Linked DNA regions of Arabidopsis thaliana. The protein of the gene in region 1 interacts with the protein of each later gene in a biochemical or structural test. Each region holds a gene or a part of one and is shown on either strand. Other genes may lie near its edges. The genes, in order: MPK2, KAN, MYB57 and AT3G27290.

The links.
Region 2: of the proteins of MPK2 (region 1) and KAN, one has a biochemical effect on the other in vitro, tested with the Arabidopsis thaliana proteins (one large-scale study listed by BioGRID).
Region 3: of the proteins of MPK2 (region 1) and MYB57, one has a biochemical effect on the other in vitro, tested with the Arabidopsis thaliana proteins (one large-scale study listed by BioGRID).
Region 4: of the proteins of MPK2 (region 1) and AT3G27290, one has a biochemical effect on the other in vitro, tested with the Arabidopsis thaliana proteins (one large-scale study listed by BioGRID).

The regions. Positions count from the first base shown.
Region 1 is NC_003070.9:21,881,832-21,886,572, reverse strand, and holds MPK2 (mitogen-activated protein kinase homolog 2), read right to left. Parts: upstream 2,556-4,741; 5' UTR 2,366-2,555; intron 2,064-2,365; 5' UTR 2,053-2,063; coding exon 1,630-2,052; intron 1,538-1,629; coding exon 830-1,537; 3' UTR 522-829; downstream 1-521. Other genes in the region: ZCF61 (E3 Ubiquitin ligase family protein), read right to left, coding at 2,941-3,043, 3,146-3,224, 3,332-3,375, 3,462-3,593, 3,680-3,792, 3,868-3,933, 4,022-4,162, 4,239-4,334 and 2 more.
Region 2 is NC_003076.8:5,406,288-5,413,724, forward strand, and holds KAN (Homeodomain-like superfamily protein), read right to left. Parts: upstream 5,480-7,437; 5' UTR 4,806-5,479; coding exon 4,076-4,805; intron 3,972-4,075; coding exon 3,895-3,971; intron 3,013-3,894; coding exon 2,967-3,012; intron 2,090-2,966; coding exon 1,942-2,089; intron 1,388-1,941; coding exon 1,279-1,387; intron 1,180-1,278; coding exon 1,078-1,179; 3' UTR 576-1,077; downstream 1-575. Other genes in the region: AT5G16550 (voltage-dependent L-type calcium channel subunit), read left to right, coding at 1-87, 197-354. UniProt on the Arabidopsis thaliana protein: Transcriptional repressor that regulates lateral organ polarity. Promotes lateral organ abaxial identity by repressing the adaxial regulator ASYMMETRIC LEAVES2 (AS2) in abaxial cells. Required for abaxial identity in both leaves and carpels.
Region 3 is NC_003074.8:209,463-213,634, forward strand, and holds MYB57 (myb domain protein 57), read right to left. Parts: upstream 2,343-4,172; 5' UTR 1,690-2,342; coding exon 1,518-1,689; intron 1,432-1,517; coding exon 1,302-1,431; intron 1,209-1,301; coding exon 890-1,208; 3' UTR 657-889; downstream 1-656. Other genes in the region: AT3G01520 (Adenine nucleotide alpha hydrolases-like superfamily protein), read left to right, coding at 1-16, 351-459; DRH1 (DEAD box RNA helicase 1), read right to left, coding at 3,615-3,750, 3,849-4,157. UniProt on the Arabidopsis thaliana protein: Transcription factor acting redundantly with MYB21 and MYB24 to control stamen filament elongation in the late developed flowers. Repressed at the transcript levels by DELLA proteins.
Region 4 is NC_003074.8:10,078,858-10,083,571, forward strand, and holds AT3G27290 (RNI-like superfamily protein), read right to left. Parts: upstream 2,677-4,714; 5' UTR 2,409-2,676; coding exon 1,743-2,408; intron 1,664-1,742; coding exon 1,181-1,663; 3' UTR 605-1,180; downstream 1-604. Other genes in the region: G6PD5 (glucose-6-phosphate dehydrogenase 5), read right to left, coding at 4,461-4,628.

The DNA.
Region 1 (4,741 bases):
GAGATGATGATGAGGAACATTCATTGACTATTAATCGACGAGAAGACTTGACTTGGTCTTCTAGAATCTTTATCTCTTTGGCTCTTGATTTTTTTTTCACATCAATGGTTTCAATAATTAGTGCAGTCCTACATTTTTCCATTTACAAAAGTAAAAAAAGATTCTTATTCACACGCTGTTCATCAAAATATTTTTCCAAAGCATAAATGTTACTAATTATTGACATTTTTTCTATCATTTAAGTTAAATTTAAGTGTGTGATAGACATCAAAATATTTTTATCAAACAAAGCAATTAATACTTCTATTAATGTCACAATATACTAAGTCTGAATTCAGAATTAGGTACATGAAAGTCAAAAACACATTTATAAAAATTCTACGAATCTATGGAACATTCTATGTATCATTGAAAATTATTTCCCAAATAATTTTATTTTGATATTCTATGCATATGTTTTATTTCATGAATTTTTTTAAACAGTGTATATCTTTGTGTTAATACATTTATCTTCAAAATCATATTTAATCCAATGGTTTGCTCTTTGAACATTCGAAAATCTTCAATAAGAAAAATCACCAACAATAAGATCAGAGACAGAGTATGAAGTTTTAAGGACACATACACTTATGTACAAACGTTACAGACACTTAAGCTTGTAACCAAAAACAAAACAAAGCTCCATGACACAAACATATCACATAATTTAAAGTTATTGTTCTTCTTCTTCGACACTATTATTAACAACATTTCAAGAAGCAAACATGAAAATAAATAAGTTTAAGTTGTTGAAAGATCTCTCTGAACAGTACCTGCAAAAGACTTGATCTCAAAACTCAGAGACCTCATTGTTGTTTATGGTAGCAGCTTCTGGATGATAATGAATCATTTCCTTCCACATTAATTCTCTTATCATCTCTGCTCCCAAATCCTCGTCTTCATCTACATCGAGATCAATAGGAACTTGAGCAGGAGGATTTGCACTCGGGTCATATAAAGGCGCCATGTAAGGATGTTGAAGCGCTTCCGTGACACTAATCCTTTTCGAAGGGTCAAGAACGAGCATTTTCTGAAGCAGATCAATGGCTAAAACATTTGCACCCGGGTAAAGACGAGAGAATGATATCCCTGGTGAGTAAGGGAGTGATTCTATGTATCTTTTGGCTTTTGGGTTATCTATAAACTCGAGATCTTCCTCTCTCTGGCTACCCAAAATGTTAATGATGAGTTTAATCTGGTTTAGACATTCTGTTCCCGGGAATACTGGTTTTCTTCCAAGAAGCTCGGCGAATATGCAACCGACTGACCAGACATCAATGGAGGTTCCATAGTTGTCACAACAGAGGAGTAGCTCTGGTGCTCGGTACCATCTAGTCACAACATATTCAGTCATGAACTGACCTTTGGTGTTGCTCGTCCTCGCTAGCCCAAAGTCACATATCTTTAAGTCGCAGTTTGCATTCACAAGGAGGTTACCGGGTTTCAGATCCCGATGGAGAATGTTTGCTGAATGAATATACTTGAGCCCTCGAAGCAACTATGCAAAAGAAATAAAAAGCAAGTAAATGCAAACACCAAATGCAAACAACACACACTAATGGTAAAAGCAAATGCAAACAAATCACATACCTGGAACAAGAAGTATTGGCAATGGTCATTACTTAGAACTTGAGAAGACTTAATAATCTGATGAAGATCAGTATCCATAAGCTCATAAACAAGATAAACATCCTTAAAGCTTCTCTTATGATTAGCCATCATTACATCTTTAAGAGCAACCACATTCTCATGTCGAAGATGACGTAGAAGCTTGAGCTCCCTAAGAGTCCTCAACGCATCAATCCTATTCTCAAACACATTGTGGATCTTCTTGATCGCCACTCTCTCATTACTCTCTCTGTTAACCGAAGAGCAAACCACACCGTACGCGCCTCGGCCTATCGGTTTGATAGGCACGTATTTGGTATCGATCTCGAAAAGTGTTTGCCACATTGAGAAGTAATGCTTCCCTTGATTCCTAATTCCATTAGGTGGATCAACAGGAGTCGCCATTCTTCTACCTCCTTATAAAAACACACAACAAAAGGAATAAAAATCAAAACTTTATCGAAATTGGAACAATCCACAAATTTGAAAATATACACAACACAGAATTTTGAATTGCTTCCAACAAGTGACAATGAAAGATCAAATTTTTAGTTTTGATCTTAGGGTTCTCTAAGCTTAAGTTTACAGATTCAAAGGTTAATATTTTAGATTTCACTAATGATCAAAAGCTTTGTTTAAGAGAAAAGAACAAAAGTTGAATCTTGATCCGATGTTGAGATTGAGCTAGAACGATCTGAATTTTGCAGAGAGAGCTTACCCGTTGAGTGTTGGGGACGAATCAGATTCGTCAGTGACGATCGCCGGCGAGATTTGGGTGGAGAGAAAGAGGAAGTTGGAGAGATTTGGCTGGTGAGAGTGAGAGATTTGGTCAACGCTATGACCGTTGACTCTCTAGTTTCTCGTTCATTACCATTTTAGAGCTGTTTCTTTCTCTGTCTCCTTCACTAATCTGTCTTTAACTTTGGGCTTAATTAAGCCCAACCTGATTTGTAATAATTAACGGTAATTAGATATTTAAGATAGTGAGGAATTAACAAAAAGTGGACGTGCCGGAGTGGTTATCGGGCATGACTAGAAATCATGTGGGCTTTGCCCGCGCAGGTTCGAATCCTGCCGTTCACGTTTTTTCACTTCTTATTTTAACATCGAAACGTGATTATATAACTTCATTAGTAAATGTAAATCTAAGCTTGAAATTTATATTAGCATTTGTTCAATCACAATCTATCAATGCAAAAAAATTTCTAGTCAAAAACTCATGATACAAAGGCTTTACTATATGTACAAGACTAGTAATTGTTCGCTTGTAAAAATCGTTCTGAGTTTTGTCCTTCAATGGCGGTAAATTTTCAAAACTTGTTGTATTCGTTCCCGGCAAAGAGGACAGGTCCTTAGTTGCAAGGAGCATGGTGTGCAGCAGCACATATGACCACACCTACAAGTCCAAACCAAACAAAAAGAGGAATCAAAAGATGCCATGTTTGATCAGTGAGAGGGTTTTCAAGAGCTTTTAGAAGAAAAGCGGTCTTATACTTACTCAACAAAAGCGGTGTTATACTTCTGGTCAAGGCAAACCACACAGAGATCAGGTGTATCACCATCTCTGCTTGTACCACCTGGTAAGACGTTTTTGTAAGCAGAGCAATTCCAAGTGTATGCAGAAAAAGGATTCACATGTTACTACTACAAAGTACAAACTCTAATGGATAGATACTATTACTACCTCCAGTTACTGGTTTGGCTCTCCTAGCAGCTGCATCAACAACTCTGCAACAAGTTACCCAACACTTAACTCGCAACTCGCAACTCGCAATGAATACTTCATACGTGGCTGTGGTTAGGGTGCGTCATACCTTTTCAGTGCGAATTGTCGCCGCCTTCTTTCTAGAGTATCTTCAATTCTCTTTAGAATATATTCAATCACAGGCTTTGAAATAAGAATCACACCAAGAACAGTTAAACCCATGGAGGCATACTTGAACCTCCTGCCAAAAGAAAGAGATCTTTTAGAATTTTTTTCAATCATAGTTTTCGAAGAAAAGAATAGGCAAAAACAGAGAAAAGAAACAACCTTGACAAATCTCCCAATTTAGAGATGAGCTGATCTAGCGGTATATAAGTGACGTAGAAAGGTCCTTGCTCAGGTTTTTGAATCCTGACATTCCCCATGCCATCCCTAACAGCCTGTTAACATGGTAAGCAACATAACAAAGAGAGATATAAAACGTATTTTGGACCGCTAACAGATAAAAGACATACCTCACCAACAACTGTAAGCGGTGTACCAATTGGGACAACACGCTCAACGTGTCTTACTCCAAGTATCTATAGACAACAATGGTGCCACAATGTATAAGCATTGTCAAAACAAAAGCAAATCAATGAAAAGTGGTAGGAAAGGAAAAGAAAAGACCTTAAAGCCTTTAAGATAACCCAACGCTCCTTGAACAAGCGATACCGGCTCTGCCTTTTCAAATACATCACTACCAACCGTCAACGCCAAGCCTAATTCACCTTGAGATACATCTACATTCACACGACCTGTCCCGTCGTCCTATAGGCAACCAATATCATATTTTGTAAATGACTTTAGAAAGTAATACACTCCAATCAAAGTCCAACAGACATACCAGATACCAGGGGACTTCCTTAGTCATCGGCTGCATCAATGTACTATTTCGAACCCATGAAAATCTCCAATTACGTCTCAAAACCTGTTGTTCTGCCTGAAAAAAATCGTTTCTTTTTAACATATCCAAAATCACAGAAACGAAAAACTAGATTATCTAATCCAATTCATACATACCGTTCTCTTGAGAAATACACCGAGAACATAACTATGCTCACACTTAATAGGAGTCTCAGAGCCAACATCTCCTGATACTGCGATGATCAAAGGTACCACCTTGCTCTCTACTTCTACTAATTGTTCTGAATAAAAACGAATGATATCAAACACATAACCAAAACCCATCCACCTAAAATTGAAATGCAGAACAATGCAGGAACATTACCCAAATCCTTGAGTTGGTAAACCCTAGTGATTGATTTGATATCTCTGTCCCACGAAAGAAGAACATTACCACCGAATAACAGTAAACCCTAGTTATCGTAATTCGTAAATAGTAAAGAC
Region 2 (7,437 bases), on another chromosome or scaffold:
GTGTTTACATTGGAGCCTTATCCGTTGCTGCATTCGTCATCTCTACCGCTACAGTTTCTGCTGTCGTTTCTGTCTTAATAGCTTCAGGTTGGTTATATACTCTGCTCTGATTCTGTTTTGGAATCTTGTAATGAGTGACACTCCAAGTTACTTCCTATATGTATTGAAGAATGAAATGAATTTGGTATTGGATCAGGTTGGATTGGGTTTTTCTATGCGGTGTGGTTGGGAACAAGAGGAAGCCTACGCTTGGCTAAGCAATCGGTTTCAGTGGTGGGATCAGCCATTTCAGGTAACACTATCAGTCGTCATCAACACCAAGACCGGGAGGTAAACATCGAATCAACCAACTGAGAATCCGTCCTTACCGCGTTTGTAAATAAACCCCGACTTTTGGTTGTTAATGGAAGCTTGATATAAATATGATCTATGGAGTTTGTTGTGAAGAAGCAGAGAAAGAATGATAAGAATATTTCAAAATGCAACTTGAAACATTTTGTGATCAATGTCTACGGATTTTTGGATCTATGTATGCATACATTGTGTGTTTTATGTACTTAAGAAAGAATAATGATCAGTATCCATATGAAATCTCAACTCAGATCTCTCCCTCTCTCTACATTTCGGCTGCAAAAAAAAAAAAAAAAACTTGAAACCCTCTAGCCAACCAAGAGGCTTTCAAAAAAATATCCAAACTTTCACCACATTTTGATGATCTTCCAATTATATAACTTATGATCACACCACCAGATCAACCTCAAAAAACTAAAAACCCGAAAACCCAAAAACAAAAACTCATACATTGATCATCCACTTTATAATCAAATCATCAATGGAACTTGAGAAGAGGAACCTCCAAATTTCTTCATTTTGGTAGTGATATTCTCTCTCTCTGTGCAAAAATCAACACTCTTGAGCAGCTTGGCTCTCTACGTGTTCTCCTTCTTTTACGCTGAGAATTTCATCGTCACAAAGATATATACTGCATACATGTTTCTGAGTATATATAGAGAGAGAAAGATGAAACAAAAAAATAAAAAATCCAATATATATAAAAATCCAAATTGATCAAGAAAGTCATTTCTCGTGCCAATCTGGTCTGCCTAATGTAAACTCCAAACTTGGATTTTCACAACTAAGATTTCCACACCTCTTTGCTTGATCATTCGACCTTTGCTCCTGCCAATTTTAACTTTATATTAGATTAAAGGACAAAAAAAACACTAAGAAAGGCAATATCTATCTATACAAATATGATTAGATGGGAATTATCAGAACCTGATTTTGAATGCTGGATCTTTGATAATGAGAGATCATTGATGTTGATGAAGTTCTGATCATTGTATCTATGTCGCTTGAGCAGTTATTACTTAATGGCCATGTCTCTCTATTTTATGATTTAAGAAAAGAAAGAAAACAAATTAAGGACAAATTGTATTTATTGATGTATAGATGCCCTAAAAATAAAATAAAAATCACTACACACAAATTGCGTTTTTTTGCAACTTGCTATATGACCACAATCTACATGTCATACTTATGAAGCAAAATTCGTTTATCCTAGTCTTCCTAGATGAATCTTAAGAACCCAAACCAAATTATAATTAAAAAAAAAAACTTGGTACATATAATTAAAGTTCATCAGCCATAAACCCTAACCAATTTCATCTCATTGTAACCAAAACCATCACTCAAATTTTTTCCCCTTAAACTGAACGAAAACAAACTTAAAATATCATCTAAAAACTATTTTTGTTAGAAGAAAATGGATAGATGTGGGATAAACCAAACAATTGTCGTATGAATTACTTGGTAGGAAGTAGGAACAATTAGGTGAGAGAACCCTAAACCCTATCTCAAATTTCGTCAATCTTATTCTTACCTAATGTTTATATATACTTATCGTGTGTATAATACATGTACGTATATACGTAAACGTACCGTGAAGAGTTACTCCAACGAGGTTGTGTGGAAGAAATGTCAGTTTCTTGATGAAGAGAAGTATCATCAGATTGTGCCCTTTGATCCGTCGATGATTGATGATGAACTTCGTTTCCATTTATGCCCATTTCTTCTTCTCCTGACCCATCTGAAATTTTATTTTAACTTTTTATCAAGTTTCGTTGTCTCAAATCAATCACTTATACCCTATAAGGAATCTCATTTAAAACTGAACGATTCTTGTAAGCTTTTTTGTAAAAGACAATGCAGTGAAGAAATTGTTTTTCTTAAAAAATAATTTCAGCATTTCGTGTTGACCAACCTAATATGTGTCTCAAAAAATAGTTTTACAGACTCGAAAATTGTGCCAAATAAACTTTTAATTGGTTAAAGAAAATCCATATGAAACAAGTGGTTTTTCTTTATTCTTAATTCATGAACTTTGCTTGGATATGAGTTTACACTTCACACGTTTTAAATTTAATCTTTTACTCGATTTTTTTTTCTTAGAGAACATCAATATTGGGGATATATGTTTGTTTGGTTTGCTTTGAACTTTGACCACTCAACTTTAGGGTTCAATCAAAGGAAGGATAAAAGCCTTGAGCTTGACCAATATCTTAGGGCTCGTTTTTTATTATTTTGGGGAAAGGGAATAGTAGAAATAGTAGAATCAAATAGTAAAAATAACAGAAATAATTTCACGTCATTATATCTCTACATACATACAAATATCGAATCACAGCTTCAAATTCTGATTGAGAACTAATTTCTTATAAATATTGTAGTCAAAAAAAGCTATAATAGTGATTATATTGGACCTCCATTTCTATAAAATTCTGGTGGAGAATCCTAAGCTTTATTGTATATCTGTCTTATGTTATTTTTTGGTGAATTGTATATCTTTCTTATTAAAAGCCAGTACCATTTCTTTAGCATATATAAAGCTGAAAAAAGCTATACTAAAGAAATGTGAATATGCATAACATTATATGTGTGTGTGTGTGTAAAGGAATCACACGTACCTGATGAAGCAGCAGGCTTGTTAGTGGTCTTAACAGTTCGATACATCTGCAAAAAAAAAAAAATTAAAGGCATGATGAGAGCTCTAAAACTAGAATAAACCATAAATCCAATTAAAGACACAGGAAAAAACCAAAATAAATATCGGACAAAAGATACTGATAAACTAAATAGATTTATTTTTGTATAATGTGATACAGAATTACAGATGACAAACTGGAGAGATATATGCAGACACATATGAACTTTATATTATTAAATAAATAATATATGTAGTACATATGTGTGGTTTTCTGGGTTTGTCTTGGAACTGATGATGTATATATAATTAATTATTTATGATTTTAAGACCACGAGGTTGATGTCTGAAAGAAGGTTGAGTAATAGAAAGATTGTATTATTATCATTGAGTAATGATGACTACTTTTGTCCCCTCTTCCTAATTTAAAAAAGAAAAAATGAATTATAATCCAAAATAACTTCTATCTATCATCTCAATTCTCCATTGTTTAATAATTCTCTGAAAGGTTTCAGTCACTTAAAGCTATAACTACTCTCTCTTTTTCTCTCTTTAAATTCATTCAACTGCTTCAATTTTCTTGGCAATTGTGCCATCTCTTCCAAAATATGACTAAACTTAAAGCAAAGACAAAACAAGAAAATAAAAGTAACACATCAGAATTGGAGCTCTATTCATTGCTCTGATGATATATACGTACACAAAAACCTTGTTTCTTGATTCAGCTGTTTTTGTGCAAAACGCAAAGGAGAAGAGAGTGACATGATGGTGATGAAAACTATGAAATATCCCTAATTATAGAAAATCTTGATTGGTAACGAACTAACTCGACTAGATTAAACCTAAATTAACAAATAAAAATTGATTCTTTGTTGTGTCTAATTTAATTTCAAATAGAGTATAGATTATACCTGCAAATGGCTCTTCACATGTGCTAAAGTTAAGTCTTTTACATCCATGAGCTCAAGAACCGACTTTGGAGTTGCTCCTAGAATCACAACAACAACAAGAATAAAAGATTTAAGACTTTGAGAATAAAGTGAAGAAAAATGGGAATGATCATTAGAATGTGATTATGATATAAATGTGTACTTTCATGGCCGCCTAGAAGCTCAACAGCGTGAACAAACCGCGCGTGGAGGCTACTAGTCCAACGCATCCTTGGAGCTCTCATGCTTCGCTTTGTCGGCATCTTAGGCAAGAATCTTGATCTGATCATCCCATGATGATGATGGTTATGGTGATGAGGAGAAGACGAATCTGAAGATCCAACGACTCCATACTGATTATGATGATGATGATGATGCAAAGGAACACCTTTAAGCCTCGGGGAAGATTGTAATGATCGGTAAGCGTTGTTGTAGCCGGAAGATGAGTTTAAGATTGAGATTTGATCCATGTCTCCTCCTCCAAGAGAAGGTAATGAAGAGTTTTGTTGGTGGAAAGGGAATGAACGGTTGTGATAGACCGGGATGCCTCTAATTGGACGGTGGAGATTACTAATCTCGGATTCATCGACCCTTTGATGAACACCATTGATGATAGGGTTGTTGTAATGCTGCTGATGAGGAAGATTAAGGGTTCTTCGATCAGGACAATGGAAGATTCTTGCTGTTGGATGGTTATGATGAGATAAAGAGAGTTCAAAGTTGGACGATCGGTTGTTGTTTTCGAGTTGGGAGGATCTTCTTGAAGATTCTTTAGAAGATTCATTGTGATGGTATTGATGAATATCTGGGAGACTGATGTGGAGAGATAGATCAGGGAGAGTAGTTGTTGTGTTTGTTTTGGTTTTCTCTAGAAAAACACCTTCCATAGACATAATTAAAGAAACCTTTCTCTTGCTATTGCTGCCACTGAAGTTGTTGATGATGATAAGGATGATGATGGTGATGATGATGATGACTATTCTTTTGTTTTTTTTTTCTCCTGAGGGTTTTGCTTAGGAATTTAAAATGATTTTCTCTAAGGAGAAGAGAAAGCAGAGAGATTCTTTAGGCAAAGAAGTCAAAAGGGTGTCTGAAAGATTTGATATTTTTTTTGTTCTCTTTCTCTCTCTATATCTCAGAAAGAAAGGAGAAAGTGAGAGAGATGAAGTTAAAGAGAAGCTTAGAAGAAGAGAGAGAAGTTGAGTGATGATCTTCTTGAAGAAACAAACATGCTCAAAGTAAGACGCAGAGAGAGAGAAAAAGAAGGAAGAGAGAGATAGAGAGAGGTATGTGTGTTGTGAAGCAAAGGCAGAAGAGAAAAAAGGAATAAAACTAAATCCAGGAAAATTAAAAACAGGTAAGAGAGAGAGATATATGTGTGTTCGTTCATGTACATGTATGTGTATGTGTATGTGTGAGATGTTGTTCCTCGAGAGTATATCTTGGAAAACGATAGTTGAGAAAGGGTAATATTGTCATTCGCTATATTCCAAATATTGGAAGCTTTTTATTTTATTTTGGGATGGTATTTCAATTTGTCTTTTTCACCTTTCAACAAGTAAACCCATCTATCAATATAATATAAATTATTTTACGGCTAGATTAATTGATTTCATGTTTTAGTTTATTCGTTTAAACTACTGAAATTTTGATTTCCATAGATAAAGTTGAAGAATAATAGCAAAATAAATCTTGTTTTCTATCAATTTAGTAGATGAAATTTTCAAATGTAAAGTGTATTTAATAATCGACCAATTTCATAGATGAAAAGCATACAACTTTTAACAATAAAAATTAATACGATTATCATCCATTAAAACCTTAACAATTTGAGTAATAAATCAAAAACTCAATTGATCTTTAAAATAATAATGTTCACAGATTATCATGAAGAATAATAATTAAAAATGTTGGAGAAGAGTACAAGAGGAGAGAGAATAAAGGGTCGCTCTCTTCTGTCCTATCTAATCTATAGTCAAAGCAAAAGCCAAAATTAAATTAAATAAATAAATAACAAGAAGAAAAAAACAAACACAAGACCTATTCTAAAATAAATAAAAAGTTTCATTATAACCAAAAAAAAATAAAATAAAAAAAGAGAGAGTGCTTTGATTTTGGTACCCCGGAGACGACGGGATACATATGTTGAGACTTGAGAGAGAGAAAGAGACTGTGTCCTCTCTGACTCCTTTTTTATTTTCTCCCCCACTCTCTTCGCTTCTCACTTCACTCTCTATTCACATCTTATTATAATAATTCCTTATACGATTTTGGAATCAAACAAATTCAAGTTTCTGACCGTAGATTGTTCAACTATACCTAAAGAGATAAATATACATTAAATATCAGTACGTTCTTGAGTTTATGAATAGCTCGTATAGACATTTAGTTCCTAGAGATGTGACTACAATATCAACCGGCTACTTGTTTGACCGTTTTGTGTTGTCTATCAATTAGAGCCAAATCGAAGTCATATACATGTCGCTTTAAAATACGTACTTGAAAAGAAATAAAATTAGGCAGATTTATATATATTTTTGACTTGTTTGTGTCGAATGTAATAATGTATGCATTCTAGTGTTTCTGTTTTCTTTGTACTCGACATTTTTACATTCACATTGTTCGTTTATAATTCTACAAAAAAAATTATGGAGTTGACTTTATCTACTGTGAAACAGAAATATGTCATACTGAAAAATAATGAAAAATATACAAAATTGAATAGTATTTAACTATTCGTATGTTTTTGTCAAAGAATTATTATATTTTTTTATCCCACTTTTAATTTGGAATATATAAACTCTGTGTTTTGCCTTCCAAAGGTACGGAAATTATTGTCTTAGAAAGTATCTTTCTCTTCAAATACATACATATATGCATACGTGTGTACAATACAAGGTGCCCTCGTACGTATATAAACCAAGTGTCATATAAAGAATTCGATCAATTATTGTAACGTAACATGCATGCTTTTAGATTATACGTGAAGTTAAATATATATTAGACCTAAGAAAATACTCAGCCAGAAAGTGGATTTTGTTTGTTTCCCTTAATAAACAAAAACAAGTGAACCCTAAAGAACCTAAATATTTGCTTCTAATTCCCTTTTCATTCTCCCAAATATTCCTTCTCAATTTAATAACTCTTTTCTAATTTTCTTTAAATTGTCTTCTAAGAAAAAAAATAAACTATTCACTCCTCACATGACCATATCAATACAACATCTCGACAAATCATTAATGCCTTGAAATAAAAATATGATAAATTGTAAGACTATGTTTATATATCAGGAAATTTAAATAAGTGAGATTTTATTCGTTGATTATACAGTAATATATATTTTTCTTATTAGATATAAATTTTAATTATTGGAAAGTAAAGAAGTACAGTATGCTTGCAGTTTTTAGACGTTTTGCTGCATGTGAGTTAAACAAGATACTATTATGATCTATTTAAAAAGCATTTTCAATCAAAAACAGTATAACAACCCTAGCTATACTTCTAACGTTTTTGAATGAGGTCCAT
Region 3 (4,172 bases), on another chromosome or scaffold:
TTGGCCGGTTTCAAAAGTGCGTATAATACTCAAACACATTCATGACTTATTAGTCATTACTTTACCCCTATATATCATCAACTAGTTATTAGACTGAATGATGAATAGCAATCAGACTTTAACTGCTATAAAGGATTACAGATAGGTAGGATTCTTGATCTTGACACAAGTTTGAGTTAAATAGATTTAGTTCAAGACGGGGCAGGAACAGAGCCAAACAAAGGAATTGTCATTCTAAGTTATACAAACATTGAGCCAGGCATAACTTGAAACTATAGAGTCTAAGTTACTACTATTGCTGTTGTTTTGAATCGTGATGGGTTTTGTTATAACATGGGTTTGCTTTGCAGGGTCTTTGTGGGGACTGTGAGTGCGTTCTGTGTGAAACATGCGGAGTGTCCAGTTATGACGATCAAACGCAATGCCGATGAAACTCCCAGTGATCCAGCTGATGACTAAACAATAACAACGTCCCTTCCTTCTTTGATCTATACAGAGAGAGAGTGCTTTTGTGTGTACAAAATCCAAATTCCTACCCCTATATGTATTTGTATCTGTGTATGTATGTGTGTGTGCAGCTTGTTCCGTTTTCTGAATTGGTTTTCAAACTGAACCAAACTGCTATATATTTGGTTTCTTTGAAAGAGTCCAAACATCAAAAACAACAACAATTTGAAAGAAAAAAAAAGAGTACAGTAGTATATATGCTTTAACGACCAGAAGTTACTCAAACACCACCTCCATATGTATTGAAGATTTAATGATTTAATGCACTTTTCGTATGTAAATTAAATGCAACGACATTTCAGCAATAGAAAAACCAAATAACGTACCATACAAAAAAACCCAGCTGGGGCATATAAATGTATAGGAGGTCTATATATATATCTTAAATCACATGGTGGTCACCATTAAGCAAGTGGACGGGCCACAGATCTTCAACGTTCCAGTAATTCTCGTTTGACTGTTGTTCCACCACATTAAACGTCGTCGTCTTCGCCTGAGAGAAGCTCTCAGCCGTGTCTATGGCTTTGCCGGAGCTGCCTTGCGTCGTCATCCCCGAGCTCTGTGAGTTTCCCGAACAATGATGTTGATGATTCATCATATTTTCCGATGACACTTTCATGTGTCTCTGAATCTTTGTCCTCCAGAAGTTCTTTATCTCGTTGTCCGTTCTTCCCGGAAGATGCTTCGCAATCTTCGACCACCTAATGCATATTATAATATTACTTAGCAACATAAAATTAGGTTTAAGATTTGATTTACGTATGCATGTACTAATTAGTGAAACTATATAAGACCTGTTTCCAAGCTTAGCATGAAGCTGAATGATCAAAAGCTGTTCTTCTTCGGTTATGTTCCCTCGCCGCACATCTGGTCGGAGATAGTTCAGCCACCGGAGCCGACAACTTTTTCCAGTACGTTTTAGACCTTATTAACAAAATAAAAACAAAATTTAGTTATATACATAGAAAACATCATCAAAACATGATTTGAATACGTGCAAAAAAGCATACCAGAGGCTTTGGCGACAGAGTTCCAAAGACCTTCACCATGATTAAGGATGTAATTAAAGAGGATGAAATCTTCTTCCATAGTCCAAGGTCCTTTTCTCACTGTTCCTTCTTCTTCTTTCTGTGACGTTATTGTCGCTTTCACTCTCCCTTTCTTCTTCATCGTCGTCTCCATCTTTCTTTCTGTTGTGTATGTGTGTATTTTTGTCTATGCAATCAATAAAGAAAACAGAGAAGAGAGAGAGAGAGAGAGATACTCGAGGCGGGAAGATGATCGACGAATGTTTTCTTTTATAGGGTTGAGACTTGCGACTATATAGTCCTCCAATTGGTAATAATACACATAACCTTAAAAATTAATAAGTAACAGAAACTATCAATAACTTTACACTCGTTTTTCTTTTTTTATGAAAACATATGCATTAATATGCAAAATCAATGAAAATATGAAGTATTTGATTACAAAACTTAATCATATATATAACTCTAAAGTTGCCAAGAAAAACTAAACATCAAATTAATAATTAAACGAGAGAACTTGGCGTGATTAGTTCACGACCACACGAATTGTAAACAGTGAGAAGGAAGAAAGTACAATCTTAAATCAAAGCAAAGCTTGACAGAAACATTACACTGAGTTTATGTATATAACGACTTCTTCCTAACCCTCTATCACTAATATATACTAACCATTATTTATTTAGAACTCACAATCAATGAAGTTCTTTCTTCTCTAAATTTTGAAACTTATATTGATATTTTTATATTCTTGCTATATTTTACCACATCTAAACTACAGTCTGAAATATGTGTTTTATTTTTTTCAACGTTATCTTTTTTTGTTTGTGTGTGTTAACGAGTTTACATTTTATACAAAGAAAATATAAGTAGTATAGATAGAGAAAATGAAATGAAAGTTGTAATAGCGTTTGCTTTTGGGCAATTAATTGAGAAGGTTTGGTGTAATTCATATGCCAAATTTAGTAAGTGAGGTTTTGTGGCTGGAAATCTAAATGATGTGTCAGCTTACAATTCAATTAAATTATTGTAAGAGAGTATAAAAATTGGGTTATTAATATTCTTTTTCAAGAATAATTTAACCAACTACTTATCGTATATTTTGAGTTTGATGATTTAACCAACACATACACTAACTGAAGTTTAAAACTAAATAATAGTTGGTTTACTATAATTCGTAAAAAAAAACCTTGAACTGTCATTCTATGTATAATGATTTTATAATGTTAGTTTGTACTTTGGTTGATGATGATTTATTAAGGATAAACTCCTAAAAGAGTAATCTCCTAACAATCAATGAAAGATTAATATTGATAGTGAAGATAAGCCATGTGTGAACATGTAGTGTGAGCTTTGATTTTAGATTGTAGGAGTTCATGATTCGTTTAGTTGTAAAAGGAAAATTAATTTGTAACCACAAAAAACAAGAGTCTATTTGGAGATTAATAGGCTGTCCTCAATTATATTATCATCAAAGTACACAAGACATACACTTTCATCTAAGCCATAGACTCACCAAACTTCTTTTTCTAATGTTCATTTTTATTTCTTAATTTTTATAATATGACACTTTTGAAAATGAAATACACATAAATAATCCAAGTTTTTTTTTTTTTTTTAATGCTTTTAGATAGTTGTGATTTTGTTCAGCTCGTATTTGGATTAAGATATTACTTGGGTTTTTAATTTGATTATTTCGATTGGGTAGAATCAGTTTATCAAATCGAACTACACTAAACCAAATCTAACAATACTAAACCGAAATCATAATATTACCACTTTGATTTGTAATTTAAATGCTAGAGAATCCCACAGTATTAGAAGAAAGTCGTTCGTATCTAATGAAACATTCTTACCAATCTCTGAGCTGCAATAATAAATAAGATGAAATACAAACTGTAAGATATCAATTGTAGTTTTGAGCGTAAATTTCCAATGGGAGGGAACAGTCTTCTTGGTCTTGTTTTTTTTTCTTTTGTTTCTTCATCGGCCAAAAAATATATAATGTCACAATGATAAGGGAAATCCCCCACAACACAATCTTCTGTCACTTGGCTTTATCAGAGCTTTGTATCTCTCTTTTCATCTGTGTTTCATCATCATCGTCTCGTGGAAGCTGCGAGGAGGAGATCCGGTGGAAGACGGTGGTGGAGCTCTGTTGAATCTCTCAGGGCTACGGCTCCTTTCTCGCTCTCTTCCCCATCCATTGCTGCTTCTACTTTACATCAAAAATTTATACAATCTCAAACTCACAATCATATTTTCAGTGGCATACAGAGATAAATTTACGAAGATGAGGTCCTATGTTAATTTTACCTGTCACGGGAAGCAAAGCTACCTCTGCCACCATAACCAGAGTCGCCACCACGACCACGGCCGCCGGAAGGAGGTCCCCAACGACTGAATTTGTTCATTCCCCCACCACCACGTGTAGCCATTTCGCGGATCTGAGGAGGAACTCGCTGGTTTGCTCCTTCCAAAATCTTGATCAGATCCGAAGCATGTTTCGAATCTTGATCACCAAAGAATGTGAATGCCTGACCAGTCGCTCCAGCTCTTCCTGTTCTTCCGATTCTATGAACATAGTCTTCCACTCCATTGGGGAAATCATAGTTTACGACCGCCCTGTGATCTCAAATC
Region 4 (4,714 bases), on another chromosome or scaffold:
GTATTGATTATATATGCATATTTTTGTTTTTTTTCAATGAAAATATATTTGGTAGAAGATTTAATATTATTTACGATTTTATCTCCTTGTAGTGATTTATTTTACAGCTAAATTACAATTTTGACAAATTTCCTTAATTTTTTTTTTAAATGAGTATAAGAAGTTCCATTTTTTCAATATTTGTATATCTTGTAATTTATAAACCAAAAGTTTAACCGCAAATAACACCTTTTTTTTTTGTTGCATTAAGCATCTATCATTATAAATCAAACTTTTAGACATTTTGTTTTTCCTTTTATAAGTTTTTATTTTTCTTTGTTAATAGAGTGTTTTATGAATAATAAATCTAAGTGTCATATTGCTATATATCAGGAATTATTATTTCTAAAAATAGAAGAAGAAATGAGAGATAATCCGTAAAAAATGCCTATGAAATTGTTTAATGAAAAGAAACATTCATTATTAATTTATATCATAATTCTCTTTTTTCATATAACTTTGATATGTTTCTTTATTAAAAATATGTTATTTAAACGTAATAATTACCTACATGATATTATGCATTATACACTGGATGTACAAACTGCGAATAAGTATTGGAATATGAGAGGTATTATTAAGTAAACTAGGTTTGGATGAAGTGACTAGTGAGGATGGTTGGGAGATCTTGCAATGAAAGTTTGTGATCATGGGCTCATGTTTCCAGGGAATGTACAAGCAGGAGTGGATTGATAAGAGATTGATCCATTTTGAAAATTATACAAGTCATTTAACAAAAGCTACATATGGAGGAGATTAAAAGACTAATTAATGATAATGTAAAATAACTCTGATATATTCTTTATTCTCTTCTCTTTTCTTGTAAGTTCTACTTATTTCCCATTTGAATCCTGGTGCTTCAACTTTCAAGTAAAGCTCTAGTCTTTGCTTCTCTTCATCTCTCATGATCAAGTTTGACTCGAGTCCGTTGCAGAATCAAGTTTAGCTCAGATCTTTCATGATGCTGTAGATGAAGACTAAACACCCTTCTGAGTCTTATCATGTTTCCATTTTTTGTTGCAGCTCTTCTTATTGACTTAGGTTTGATACCTCAAGCACCAAGACTCTTCATTCTTCAGAAAACAGTGTATTGAGGATCAAAGTAATGTGTTAAGCTTCGGTTTTGACTTCAAATAAACTATTATAAGCGGTTAGACCTCTTCTCAATGCATACCACACAGCTGAATGCAAAACAGAACGGCTTGTTTTCACAGTCATTTAAGCAACTCCCACACTCATGGCAACGTTCTATGCAGACAACGCAAGCTCTGCAAGATGACTTAGAATAAGGATATTGACCCTTCAATGGACATGTATCTGCTGGACAATCAAATACCAGACTTGGTTTCTCACACCAGGGGCATATCTCGAGGTCAGTAACTCGATCATCCTCTAAATAGAATTCTGATCTACAAGACGTATAGAATCTCTTCTTCCTCTCTTGTAAACCCACTTTAGCATCTCCTCCTAGCAATAAGTTGAGCTCTTTAAACTGCTCCTTTGTGAAATACAACGCCCCACCAGTGATTAGGCTTTTGACTCCAAGACGGTTTGAAGATTTTAAGTCCCTTAAAGTTGACACTAGTCCTGCTGTGCTTAGTCTAAGACAACCAGATACACTCAGCTGCAAAAAAACAGACACACATGAACAAACAACACAGAATCATATAACAAGATTGGTTCCATCATTCGATCAAACTAACCTTAGTAAGATGTGGATTGCTAGCAAGAACTTGCTTCAAGCCATAATCAGTGATACCAACACATCCTCCAAGATTCAAACATCGAACACCGCCTAGAGCACGGCGTGTTAACTTCAAAAGAGACTCATCAGTAACTCTATATTGAAGAAATGAGTCATTAAGATCAATACTTGTCCAGAAAAAAGGTTCCTTTCCAACCGAATCACGCAAAGACCTACAAACTACTTCAACCGCAAGAATCTCTTTCAACTCTAGATATGGAAGAACCAACTCAAACGCGTCATGAGCTTCACCACCACCACCACCATCATCATCATCATCACCATCATCATCATCATTATTATAAAACCAACTTAGAGTCTCGAACAACATCTGATCAACAACACCAATTTCTTTCTGATTCTCATGAAACCAATCAGAGATTGTGTTCAAAGTCGATCTAACTCTCATACAAAACGGATCCTCAGGCAAAGTATGATCTTCTGAGACTAAACCAATCTGATTCTCATGAAACCAATCTGAGATTGAATTCAAAGTCGATCTAATGTTCATACAAAAAGGATCATCAGGCAAACCCACAAAATCATCCCCAAATTCGCCTAAACCCAATTCTAATTTTCTGTAATCGTTATAAGAACCTCGAAGCCTTTCGTAATTAACCTCCATTAACGAATCTCTCAATGAATTAAGGAAATCGAAATCTGAAACAGATCCAATGAAATAAATATATAAAAAAACGGCGAGAGAATGAATGAATGAATGAATGAATGAGAAGGAACGGGATCGCGTAATCAGCGGGAAAAAGGAAAGAGAAAGGATTCGAGAGGAAGAGGAAGAAGAAGAAGAAGGAATCAGAGAAAGAGTTTCAATTGCAAAGAAGATGACTTTTTTTAGGGCTTTTACTCTGTTGCGATTTTGGCGCGTGTCTAACTATAACTTCTAATTTAATAAGAACAAATAATTAATGAGTTTTTTTTCTTCTTTTTAAATTCTAATTAATGATTACGTCTCTAAATTAGATATTTTCATTCACTCTTTTTTTTTTCTTTATAAGTCAGATCTTCTAATTTATAATCTTTTCAAATTTGCAGGATCTTCTATTTTTTTGGGTTATTAGTTTTATTCCTTGTCCATAATCCTATTGATTAACTATTGTATTAAGTAATTTGCCATTTTGTGAACAAAAATTAAGAAGTTATTTACTTATTATAGATTTTGCACTTTTTAATAAAGGAATTTTTGTTAAAGGGCAAGATTTGATAATTTAATTAAGTGAATGACTTCTTGATTGTTGTTAAATAATTATACTTTTATTTTAAATATTTATGAATATACTTTTATTTTAAAATTTGGTATTTTCGTGAGTAAATAAATTAACTAGAACCAATGGAAGCAGCTTATTAAATGATGTTTAACTTTGTACCCTTAAATTAACTAGAACCCTTAAACAGTTAAACATCACTAGATTTTGACCCGCGGTATACCGCGGGGCTAGGTTTTTAATAAAATTTGTTATATAAAATGTATATGTAAATATTTGTTTTATTAATATTGTTTGCTTTGTTTAGTGTTTAAGATAATGTATATATAGATTTTAGTTGTTATATCTAGGATTTCATCCGTAGTATATCGTTTCGTATTATTATCGATCAAAACTCGTCATACCATCTAATCCTGCATATTGAAATTAAACATATCTAATAGATTTCACTTGTGGTATACCGTCTCGTAATACTATCGACCAAACCCTTCCTACCACAAACCCCGTTCAGTAAAATTAGACATTATTTTGTTATTTTTGTTTTAATAATACTTTAGTTTAAAAAATATTTAATTCAAATCAATTTAAAAGTTTTTTTTCAAATGGTTATTTAATTATTATAAAGTTTATATATTATAATATTATAAACACGTCCTACCATCTAGTCCTACTATCTAATCATGTTCGGTGAAATTATTTTTTTATTTTTTTTAATAATATTTTTATTAAAAAATTTATAATTTAAATCAATTTAAAGTTTTCTTTCAAATGGTTATTTAATTTTTAAATATTTTAACTATTTTGACAAAAATAATTAGGCCATGAAATAAAAGCATATTCTTTTGAATAAGATTTGCTTTGATTTGGTAGTTAATTTTTGCATTTAATAAGTCAGTGGCAGCCATTGTAAATAAGTTCTAATTGCAGGATTTATTTCACAAAATGGCTGCAAAAATGTATATATAGATTTGCGGTCAAAAAAGTTAAACATCATTTAAAATGAAAGAGAATGAAACAGTCGTAATGTGTTTTAATTTTTTTTTTTTTTTTTTTTCGTCGTGTTTTAATTTATTTTAGTAAGTATTATTGCCAATTTCTTAATTAAAATTCTATCTAGTTCAATTTCTCTTTTAATAACAAGAGCAGTTATTCTGTGTGTATACGTCGAATTCATGAGATTCAATCCTCTATTAAGCAGAATAAGATCTCTTAATTTAATTAGCTTTTCCACAAAGCTGTTTTGCATTATGTAAAAAAAGAAAACAAGGGACTAGTACAACAAAAACTACAAGGCATAAACAAACAATGTCCTAGTGAAGATCACTAGTATACATAAGATTCACTTAAACAAACTCCAAACTGGTGAAGAGTTTTTATTCAGCAAGCAAGGAAAAAAAAGAAAAAAAACCCTCTTATTTTGTGTGTACTCATCATCATCATCTCTATGATTATACCATTTACAATGTAGGAGGGATCCAAATGTAGCCATGAGTCTGCATATAACCAGCTTTCTTAAGTAGCTGATCTGCTTCCGCTGGGCCACGGCTACCTTGTTTGTATGGGACCGATTTCACTTCTCCCTTGTCGATCCTGTGAAGCAGTGGAGTGAAGATTTCCCAAGCTGCCTGTTTTGTGATTGATCACATACATATATGTGTTTAAAGATCTTCTCAATATATGGTAAAAATCAGATTGTGGAAGTTTCAAACAA